2 linked regions of the Sus scrofa genome follow. The protein of the gene in region 2 interacts with the protein of the main gene of each other region in a pairwise test. Links are inferred from orthologs where the notes say so. Each region holds a gene or a part of one and is shown on either strand. Other genes may lie near its edges.

What was found.
Region 1: the proteins of SLC15A4 (region 2) and GLP1R interact in a protein complementation assay, tested with the Homo sapiens proteins (2 studies listed by BioGRID). The link is inferred for Sus scrofa from reciprocal best matches to the Homo sapiens genes SLC15A4 and GLP1R.

The regions. Positions count from the first base shown.
Region 1 is NC_010449.5:34,531,045-34,536,434, forward strand, and holds the end of GLP1R (glucagon-like peptide 1 receptor precursor), read left to right. Parts: intron 1-3,142; coding exon 3,143-3,310; 3' UTR 3,311-3,312; downstream 3,313-5,390.
Region 2 is NC_010456.5:26,144,718-26,150,568, forward strand, and holds part of SLC15A4 (solute carrier family 15 member 4), read left to right. Parts: intron 1-2,298; coding exon 2,299-2,454; intron 2,455-3,377; coding exon 3,378-3,536; intron 3,537-5,851. UniProt on the Homo sapiens protein: Proton-coupled amino-acid transporter that mediates the transmembrane transport of L-histidine and some di- and tripeptides from inside the lysosome to the cytosol, and plays a key role in innate immune response.

The DNA.
Region 1 (5,390 bases), on a different chromosome or scaffold from region 2:
GACCCCTGGCCTGGGAACCTCCATATGCTGCGGGTATGGCCCTAGAAAGACATAAGACAAAGCAATAAAAAATAAAAGGGAGGAAAACAACGTTGCCTGAGTGCTGGCTGAGTGCCCACGGGCTCAAGTGTTTAATTATATATCCAATCCTGTGGAGCAGATGTTAAGCCCCATTTTACAGATGAGACAGTTTAAGCTCAGCGATCTTAGAGTCAGCACATTCAAAATACAGTCAGATTTGTATTTCGCCCCATCACTTAATGAGCTGTGTGTGTGATGCTGGACAGGTCGAAAACCCACTCTGAATCTCAGTTTCTCTGTCTACGAAGTGTGGGTAACAATGCCTACCTCCGCGGTTCTTGAGGGTTAAGTGAGGTGGAGCCTGGAAGAGGTGGGCAGGGAGAGCCGAGCACAGCCGTCCTTCGAGGCAGGCGCTGAGGCTCACCCAGCCCCGCTCAGTGCTGCCTGGCATGAAGAAACGTGCCCCCACCACCTCTCAGACGCTCCAGAAGCAGAAGCGGTTATGTAGCCATCATCCCAGTATTCAGCCACTCCCAGAGCCTGGACACTGCACAGGACGCTGCAGAGACAAAAGGGGGCCTGGTGACAGGGAGGCGGAGTGCGCCCCTGTCTGTCCCTGAGGCTCCCCAGCCCCCTGAACTGGCCTCCTATGGAAGGATCAGCTTGGAGCCTGTGGCCTTCCGATCTCTGAAAGGGAGAGGAAGTGACCTTTCCCAGGTGCTGCCGGTGTATAATGTGCCCAAGTGTCTTATTGCCTCCAATCCTGGTGGCAGGATTATCTCCATTCTACAGATGAGAAAACTAAGGCTCAGCAAAGTGACATGAACAGTCCCAGTTCCACAGCTAGAAGGCAGTGGAGCTGCTAGGCCAGGGGAGGGGGCCTCACTAATGCCTCAGGCCCGCTGGGCAGGGATGAGAGGGCAGCACCGATTAAAGGGTGACTTATAAGTGGGTCTGGCTGTTCCCACGGGTGGGTCTCAGGGGCTCCCCAGGCTCAGCGTTGGGTGGGGCCAGGAAGGAGGGTAGGTGAGTGTAGAGGACACTCGGGCCTCATCCTGTGCTCTCTGGACCAGCAGAGGCAGCGGGATGTGTGGCCCTGATTCTCCCCAGCGTCTGAGTCCTCATGAAAAACCTCCCGGGCAGATGTTGAAGTATGAGAATCACCAGATCCCCAGCTGGCCTCCCGCCGAGGGCTCTCCTAGGCTTGTGCCATGGGGTCCAGGAGACCCCGCTCAGAAGTCCTTGTTTAGACGCACTGCCCTGGCTCCTCCAGGCACATGTCACCATCACTGGGCCACAAAAACAGTGTGGCTCCTGGGCCTGAGATCTCTGTCCATGGGCGCCATTCTCCAGACCCAGGGTTGCCATGGTGATGCCAGGTACTTTTGACCCTAGCATTGGTCCTGCGTGGCCGCCAAGATCTGCACCAGCTGCCAGTGGGAGGGGAGGGGGCGCAGGGTGGGGAAGGCCTGGGGGTGGCTTTGCCGTGGCCCTTGAGACTCAGGAGCCTGAGTGCTGGTTCCAGTTCCGCTTCTACCTGGCTGTGTGACCGGGGTGATCACCGCTTCTCTGCCCAAGTGTCAGTGCAGGTGAATGAGCTTTACCAGCTCCCCCCAAATCCCAGAGCCTGGCCTGGTGCCCGGCCAGAGGACCTTGGAGGCAGGTCCCCGTCCTGTCTGATTTCCTGCTGCATCCAGGAGACCTCCATGGCCCTGAGGTAGCTTCCCACGGACGTGCCTCAGCTGACCGTCTCCCTCCCCACCTCCCCAGTTAAGGGCTGGCCTTCCTGCTGCTGCACAAGCAGAGGCCACCACTGCCTCAGGCGTCTGTCCTCAGCCCAGCTGTCAGCACACACACACCACATGGGCTCCCTGGGGTTGTAAGCTGGCACAGAGCAGGGAGCCAGGGCTGCTGTCTGCTTGGCCTCCCTCCCGTATCCAAGCCTGATCCCCATGATTCTGTCCGGGATACTGGGGCCATCCCATAGGCAGGCTCTGGGCCGTCTCAGCTTCACTGAGAAGCTGAAAAAGTTCTTTTAAGGCATGGCATGCAGCCACGCCAGGCATCTCACTGGGCTTGGCTAGATGGATGGCAGTCCTGCAGGGGGAGGAGAGGGATGTTTGCACAGGGACTGACGGGGCATTGGCAGTGAGCCGCCTACCCACAGCTGCTGGGGGCTGGGGCCTGAGAGGGGGAGCTCAGGCCCAGGCGTCCTGGCATGGGGAGGCCTGGGACAAGGGTGAGAGGCGTCAAAGAAGCTCTGAAAAGCAAATGTATGGAAAGATGCCCTGGGCTGGCTGTGCAGATGCCAGCAGCCCGTCTGGGGAACCAGAGTCATGGGCTGTCACAAGGAGCCCTGGCACTGCCATGAGCTCTCCAGTGACTGGGGCTCTGCGGTCACTTGTCTTTCTGCCCCAGCAACCTGGTCTCCGAGCATCAGCCCTCTCCAGAAGGCTTTTCCTGGAGGGACGGGCTGAGCCCAGCACAGCAGGGATTCTTGGCTGAATTCACCTGGGCCGCATCCTCTGTGAGTGGGGACCAGGTCCTGGATGGACTTAAGTCTAATCCAGGCAGAAAAGCCCTTGTCCACAGCCCCTTCCTCACTGGTGCTACTAGTCCCAGCCCTTTTGCTTCCTCACGCAAGAGGCACCGGGGCCGGGGTAAAAGCCCCTGGGGAGTTCAGAAAGGTCTCGTTGGCGCACCATGAGGAGTTGGGGTGTGCTCGGTCCACAGGGAAGCAGGGAGAGGGCTCTGAAGTCAGATTCTCTCCTCATTTCTTCTCTCTCCCGTCTCCCCGTATCTCTCTGTCACTCATTCTCTTCCATTAAATAATAATACTGTGATGGATCGTAAAAGGTACTTAGCTGAGTCACAGAATATAGAGATGGAAGAGACCAATTAGATCATCAAGCCCATCTCTCTCCCGAGAAGAGGCAGAAGATAGGAGACAACAAGAAACAATTTTATTGGGATATTAATTTAGGCGCCTGAAGGCCTTGACTTGTGTCTCTGAATATAAGGCAGCGGATTTTTCCCCTGCCCTCCTAATGTAATAACGGGGCCGTTCTGTAGGCAGTTGGTTTGCATGACGGCTCTTGCTTCCCTCCTTTTCCCACGGAAGGTCCAGATGGAGTTTCGGAAGAGCTGGGAGCGCTGGCGGCTGGAGCACCTGCACATCCAGAGGGACAGCAGCATGAAGCCCTTCAAGTGTCCCACCAGCAGCCTGAGCTGCGGGGCCACGGTGGGCAGCAGTGTGTACTCAGCATCCTGCCAGGCCTCCTGCAGCTAAGACTCTGGCACCTGCCCTCCTCGTGGTCTCGCTGCTGGCTGGGCAGCCACCGCAGGTGGGAGAGACCCTCCCGGGGATGGGGGCAGTGGGGTGGGGTGGGGAGTGACACAGGCGCACACGCAAACTTCCCCACTTCACTGCTTTCCCCTCCCACACCCATCAGACGGGCAAATGGGCAGTGCCTCCTGGGAACCGTGGACACATTTTCTCCGAGGAGAAGCAGCCTGTTAATTTAATCACTGTGGCGGGAAGAGAGGGAAAAAAAATTGCTGCTAAAATGAGGAGGATTTCTTCCTGTTAAGCCACAAGGCCCCTGGGGTTCCCCCAGACAGAGCAGCAAATCAGCCCTAGACTCAAACTCAAGGTCAATGGCTTATTAGCGGGCTGGGTGCTTGCAAGCGGATGTGGTTCTGAAAGGGGCAGACTTCACCTCAGCCAAACCTGGAGCTTGGGCAGTGAGCCAACAGCGCCTGCCCCCGGTCGGGGTCACCACCTGTTGGCCTCCTCAGGAAGGGACGCTGGACACACGTCCAGGTCGCATGTTTCCCCCATCTGGTCCCCGCATCCCACCACCCAGCTTGTCTTTGAGGGGCGGGGCTTTCTAGAAATGGCTGGGGGTGGTGTTGAAAATGAACATTGAGAAGGTGCCTGAAGGTTTTCTTTTCTGGAACCCACTTCCCTGGTATTGGGGTTGCTTTGGGGCCTGCTCCCACCACGCCCAGGGAACCAGGGCAGGCCCACTTCCACGGAGCCCAGCCTGGGGAATGAGCTCTGATTTCTATCCTAGAGGAGCTTGAGAGTCTTCTAGGGCTCACCTAGGGGACTCTAGGAATGTCTACATTGGGCGTGTAGATTACATAATACTGTTGGCAACCCAAAGGGTCAGGAGAGATGGCCCCCACCTCTCAATGGAAAGGCTTTTCATTCGTGATCAGACAATGCGTCTTGCGGGAGTTTGGGTGCGCCCTCTAGCTTTAGGGCCTGTGACCAAGAAGAGCCTCTTCCAGGAATCCCCGCTCCCACTGTCACCATGGAGTCGGTTTCCCCAGCCCTTGGTTTTTTTCCCTTGCCAATCCCCCTACTTGAGAGCTTGTATATACTTTATTCATCGGTCTTTACTGTGGCAAATGCTCTGTATGTGCAAATGTGCGATTCCGCTCTCTCCCATCCAATGGAAGTAAGCACCAAATCATGGTGGTGGCCAGGATGCTGTTGGAGGGAGTGGGGTAGTTATTGATTTGACTCATCCATACTTTGAGCTATTTAATGTACGACCTGCCTCCAGTCTCGGCCCATAACTAATGAGCATCTGAGAAGCTAGACAGGGAAAACCCATCAATCCTGCCACAGTCACGGTGGAAAGGCAGACACACAGCCCCCCTGCAGAGACCCAGACAAAGGGGGAAGAGCTGGAGGCTCACAGTTGAGTTCCTGGATGTAGAGGAAGTTTCCAGAGCAGGAGAGAACTCTTTGGAGGGCAGAGCAGGAGTCTTTGGGTGAATCCCCTTATGAATGGATCTTGTCTTCCCTTCTGGTTTTTGAGTAGTGGGGGGACCCTCCCTCAAAGCCTTGTGCCAGACACATTCTCCTCTGCCCCTCAGAGAGGCATGTGATGTGCAGGCAAAATCATAATGGGATATAAAACACATCAAGCAGAAAATTTCTTTTACTTCAGCTTCAGTGAAGTGTTGTGTCTCTGTTAATAGGGAAGTTGAACCTCAGGCTAAAGAAGGGGATTGTGCAGACGGCCTCCTTGACTGAGGAAGTGCAGAGAGGTGGGGAGGGGAAACACTCCTGCCTCCTCAAAATAAGGCATCCCAATAGGCATCATGCATTTGTTTTTCTCTTTGGAGTGGGTGGGGGGGAGGGGGGAGAGAAGAATGCCAATGGGGTGGTTGGGGGGATACAGCTCTGGTGCAAGTGTTTCCATCTTGGATAAACAGGGAGATTTTTGAGAATCATTAATACACTATACAGCAGCAAAGAAAGAGAGTGACCAATATTATCTGCAAGAAATAAATCATTGAGAGGAAGAACTGTGGGGAGGAAGGGTTTAGGTAGGCACTTGGGAAGCTCAGAC
Region 2 (5,851 bases):
GTTCTCCACCGGCTTCTCAGGACCTGCTCAGTCCTCCACCCTGTTCTCCGCAGTGTTGGTCACACCCTTCACACCCCCAGGTCCTTCCAGTGGTCCTGCCAAAGAGGAGCTTTGTTTCCTCATCTTGTCTCTTAGGGCTTGACCCTCTTTATTTGTGTCCCCCTTTCTAGCACCCCTTAATTTCGGTTACTTTTTCACCTTCAGAGTCAGTCTTCAGAGTCTGTGTTTTCTCAACTAATAAGAGCACAGAGCAGATCCTGTGCAACCATTTACTTTTGTTCTTTGCCAGAACTTGCCAGAGGTCAATAGTGTATTTTTTGTTCCTGGTACTAAATCTGTGTATTGACCCCACCAGTAACCTCCCCCCACTCCACCACCACCACTCCCCCACCACCACTCCCCCACGTGTCTTCTTACTGTTCTCTTGCCTTTCCTGTGAAGGACAGAAGTCTTTTCCACAGTATTTATTCCCCCAAAACAGACTAAGCAGGTTCTTCCCTATTTCTGTACCTGACTTTGCACTTGAATTGCACCAGAGCCCTGCCAGCTGGAGGGTTGGTGCAGTGATCTTCCTGTAGGAGAGCAACTGCCAGAGCAGCAGGGACCTCGGCTGACCCAGAGGAAGCCTGCAGCGCTTTATCCTGTGTTTGACAGTGCACCAGCCAGGCTAGTACTATTGTCCCGTGGTGCTGCCCGCTGGCCTGCCAGGGAGGAAAGCTGTCACTTGTGGATAGGCTCTTACTGCCAGCACCAGCACCCTAAGATAACCGCTGAGCCAAGCCTCAAATTCCCCTTTCCAGAGCTGCCAGGGTCTCTGCGTGGACTCCTCTGCACACTGGGGTCTACGAGCCTCTGTAGTCGGAGGACAGTGGGTGAGGCTGGGTCCCCTCGGCCCACCCCCAGGGAGGAGATACAGTTTATCCCATGGAAATGAGCCAGGAGGTCTCTACCTTGGTCCTTTGCTGTATTTTCTCTGTTTGTACATTTCATTTGAGATGTGCTTTGGGGTATAGATTATAGAATTTATCCTTTACCCTGTCAGTCATTACTGGGTCCTTTTTCATACTCAGGTTTTAAAAGAAATATATTTAATATATATATTCCATTGTCCTCTACCCAGACTCATGTCCTTCTCATAATGTCTTAAACACATACACACACAGGTGTGTGTGTGTGTGTGTTAGCTATTAGGGTCCATTATTTCATTGGCAATTATAATTCTTTAAAAACAAAACATATTGACATCTTTACCCTAACGACATGGTCCTATAAATTGTTTTAGACTCTGTTTTGATTTGCTTATTTTTTGTTTTGTAGAGAGTAGCTGTTTCCGATCTTGCCTATTTTGCCATGTCCTTCTGTCCTGTGTGACAGATGACCAATAATTCAGTGAGATCTTGGCACTGCTGAGAGCAGAAGGTGGTTTGTGAGGTCTGGTTTACAGTCAATCCCTTATCTCTGGTTTGCTTTCCATGGTTTCGGCGACCCCATGGTTAACCGCAATCTAATGTAAGATACTAGATGTAAGATATTAGAGACCACACTCACATAACCTTTATTACAGTATGTTGTTATAGTTCTCTTCTATTACTAGTTACTGTTGTTAATCTCTTACTGTGCCTGACTTATAAATTAAACTTTATCAGAAGCGTGTGTGCAGGAACAGGCATAGGGTCTATAGGGACCAGTACTATCCTTGGCTTCAGGTACCCACTGGGGGTCTGGGAACATATCCCCCGCAGATAAGGGGGGGAGCTACTGTACTTTGCTGATAAGGTTAAGCCTGCCCACCCAAGGAAGCCAGCATTCTTAGCAGCAATGGTAGTTGTAATAGTAATGATAATAAATCAGTGTATCAGCTTAAATCTGTTCCCATGAAGGGAAAAGCATCTCAAAATGTATTAACTTCTGGTAAGTAAATAGCATGATTAATCTTTTTATTGCAGGGCTGTTTAGCTTTCCCCTGCTCCTCATTTTAGAGGAAGCAAAAGGAGTCTAGGTGAGCAGTTCAGATATTTGAGGATTATGTTAAAGTGTTGAACACCTGTTATACGGCACTGCAGAATGCCCCCCTGAAACATGTGTGAAGTGACCCCTGCTTTTTAATCATCTCCTTATGGAGCTGGAAGTGGGGAAGTGCCTCAGGTCGGGGCTTTGGGGAAGCTGGGCCATTGGCCATTATTCTTTTGTGTATTTCTCGGAATGATCAATAAATGCCTTGTGCCAAGCATCTCCTTTTTTAGTTTAATTGCGAATGTTAATGAATAAACGCTCTACTGACCTACTTATGAATTTCAGGAATTTTGGAAAGCAAAAGACTGGACCTCGTGAAGGAGAAAACCATTAACCAGACCATTGGAAATGTTGTTTACTACGCGGCCGACTTGCCCATCTGGTGGCAGGTGCCCCAGTACGTGCTGATCGGCATCAGTGAAATATTCGCGAGCATCTCAGGTACAGGTCCTGTCAGGGCATCTGAGCCCAGGCCCGTCACAGCGTAGTAAAGGCCGTGCTATTCCCTTCCATGATGCTGTGTCAAGACAGCGCAGCACAGCACTTAGCGGCTCTGGGTGGGCCGCTGTGGTTCAGGGTCTGAACTGGTCAGAGAGTTCCTTTCTTGGAGTAGAAACGTCAGCATGGAATTCCTCTACTACTGTAGAAGTTCCACAGGAGAGGAAAGAAGAAGAAAGAGCCCACGGGGTGGGCTGGGTCTGACGCTTCCTACCAGGCCCTGCAGTCTGTGAGGCAGCCAGGCCTCGGGGTGTCCGCACAGCCCGGCTCTCGCCTTCAGATTTATAAGGAGCAAACCTAATGTTAAAACATGTTGGCACAGGCCTCTCTTGCCTCTCCGTGAGGCCCTGTGCTGCCCTGTGGACAAGCAAATTCTGTGCAGGCCTGTGTCCAGCTCCCGGGAGTGAGGGGAGGAGAAAATGAGTGATAACCAGGAGCCACCGGGCTGTGGGCAGTGATGCAAACTCCCCCCACCTCCCACAGAACCCATGCAAAGTTGGCTGACGCATTTGAGGAGGGAATAAATCAACAGGATGGCCTTTCATGTAGAACAGATCTCCGTGTCTGGTTATTTCACCAATGACTGAGTTCATGCACGGAGCTCCCGATGCCGCTGCGAGGCACTAAGACGGGGTTCCTAAGTGCTCTCCCTGCTGCAGTACAGCACTTTGTTTGCAGATTCCTGTTAGCTGAGAACTAGAGGGCTTTTGCTGCTCCTGCCTCTTTTTTTCCGACAGTCAGCTGCTTTCAGTGTGAGGGCTGGAAGTGACTTGCCCCAGAGATTCTGCAGGGCCCTGGGTGCTGGCCTCAGCAGGTGGGGCTGAGCCCCCCACCCCCCACCCCCATGCTCTGCTTTCCTTTTCCAGGCCTGGAATTTGCATACTCGGCTGCCCCCAAGTCCATGCAGAGTGCCATCATGGGCCTGTTCTTCTTCTTCTCTGGTGTTGGATCGTTTGTGGGCTCAGGGCTGCTGGCGCTGGTGTCCCTCAAGGCCATAGGGTGGATGAGCAGCCACACGGACTTTGGTAAGTGCCCCCCACCCCTGGAAAATAAGCAGGGCCGGGGGCCCCGGCTGCGGACACCTGGGTGGGGTGTGCTGGGTGTCACCAGGCTGAACTGGGAGCTGCCCTCAGCCTCGGCCACACCTGGTCAGCTTTGCTGCTGCTGTTTCCTCGGAGTGTGTTTGGTGAACAGACTCCACCTTCCTGCCCAACACTATGTTTATGAGGTGAAGGACATCTATATATGTATTTCCTTTCATTTACCTTTTCGTAAGTGGTTTCTTTTTTTTTTTTCCTTTCATTCTCCTGTCAGTACCTTTTAGTTTTCTGTTACATAGAAATAGATAATAAGCTGCCTTTTTATTTTTTTATTTATTTTTACTTTTTTTTTTGTCTTTTTGCCATTTCTAGGGCCGCTCCCGCAGCATATGGAGGTTCCCAGGCTAGGGATCGAATCAGAGCTGTAGCCACCGGCCACAGCAATGTGGGATCTGAGCCATGTCTGCAACCTACACACAGCTCGTGGCAACGCCAGATCCTTAACCCACTGGCCAAGGCCCGAAACCTCATGGTTCATAGTTGGATTCGTTAACCACTGAGCCATGGCAGGAACTCCATGAGCTGCCTTTTTAAAAGCAAATGTTACTCACCATGGATCAGAGTGGAATTTTACAGCTGATACCAGTAGGTGGCATCTTGAACAAAACCACTCAGGAGATGAGAGCTCTGCGGTTTGCAGATTTAGGATACCTTTAAACAGGCCCAGGACATGGAAGTTTCTTTGTATATTTTACCAGTGAAAACCACCATGTTGCTTTTGATGTGCAGTCCTGTGACATTTGCTATCCCCTGAAAGCCACTTGCAGGTGAAAATCCCTTTGAACATTCTGATGAAAGCTTAGACATTTCTCAGAAATGGCAGAAATCCAAAAGCCTCCCCATGATGCAGGTGAAATTCCTGTCCTGCGTGGAGCTTAGGCCTTTAGATAGAGTCCTTGTGTAACTTCCAGGATCCGCCTCAGGCACTGTCAGGCTGTGGTCCAGCCGTGTGGGTGAGTGGTGTGTGGGCAAGTGGTAGGGCAGCCTCGCCATTGTGGTGAGGGGGCAGCAGATCTGGGCTTTGCTTGTCCCCGCCCCCTGGAGGGTAATGTCCGGTTCCACAGAGGTCCTGGTGTCACATTATCTGTACAGGACAGACCTCCTTCAGAGAGAGGCTTGTTACAGAGACCAAGCCCTTGCAGTTCTTAAGACTCAGGTTCTGTTTCTTTGTTTATGCTGTACTTGCAAATGTATGTATCATAAAGGACTGATTGGCTTTTGTCATTCTCTGCTTTCCAGTGATGTAACCCCTCATGACTGGCTCAGTAACTCGTAGATTCCCTGTCATGCGTCCTTTAGTTTTGATGGGCAGTTTTTACACTTTTTGGTACTTCTGTGTCCGGTGCATGTACAGATGTGGACCTGGACTCTGACTGTTGACCTTATTTTCGTGAGAAGGGAACTCTCTGTTGGCTGTGTGTTCTGGATCAGCTGCCTATCCGGATGCTGGTGTCGCCTCCTCGCCACAGCAGTGAGGGCCGTGTGAGTCTCCTACCTGCCAGCTCGTGTGTCCTGGGTATGAGATGAAGACATGGTGCAGGAGGACATGGCGGGTCTGCTCCCTCTGTTTAGGGGCTGGTGGATCTGGGAAGAGAATGGGACCAGGTGCTCCCCCCACACAGAGTCCTTGCTTGTGTAGAAGGAGCTGCCACTCTGACCCCAGACCCCATGGCTTCTCTGTTCTGAGCTCCTGCCAGCCTTGCCCCCACCAGGCCCTGGTTTCGCTGCAGTAGAGGAGGCGGAGGAGGAGCTGATGGACGTGTGTCAGGCTCCAGGAGAGCCCCAAAGGGAAAGGCACCCAGATTCTCCTCATTGTTTCCCCCTTTCCCCAGCTTTGTGATTGTTTATTTAGATTGGCGGTCACAGCCCTGCTATGAAGGGCACTGACCTTAGTGCACAGCCAGTCTCCTTAATTCAGATCCAAACACAGAACTATTGGGAAGGTGTCCTGGGTCCTTTCTTAGCCCCCAGGCCCCCACAAGATGAGCTGTTCTGCAGTCGGCTCAGTGATCCTTCTGCATCTCGTCCTCTGCTGTGGTCTCCTTTCCCTCAGCACTTGTCGGGGTCTCCCCTGCGATTGGGTCTATGTGACTTCTGTGGAGTGTCCCTGTACAACTAACCCTCATTCACCTGCACTGCGGTGGGTGGTGTTTGTGGTGTCTCCAGTTTGAGGCTTGGGAATAAAGCAGCTGGGCATGTTCTGGGACATGTTGGTGGACTCGTGTGCTTGTGTCTTGGGG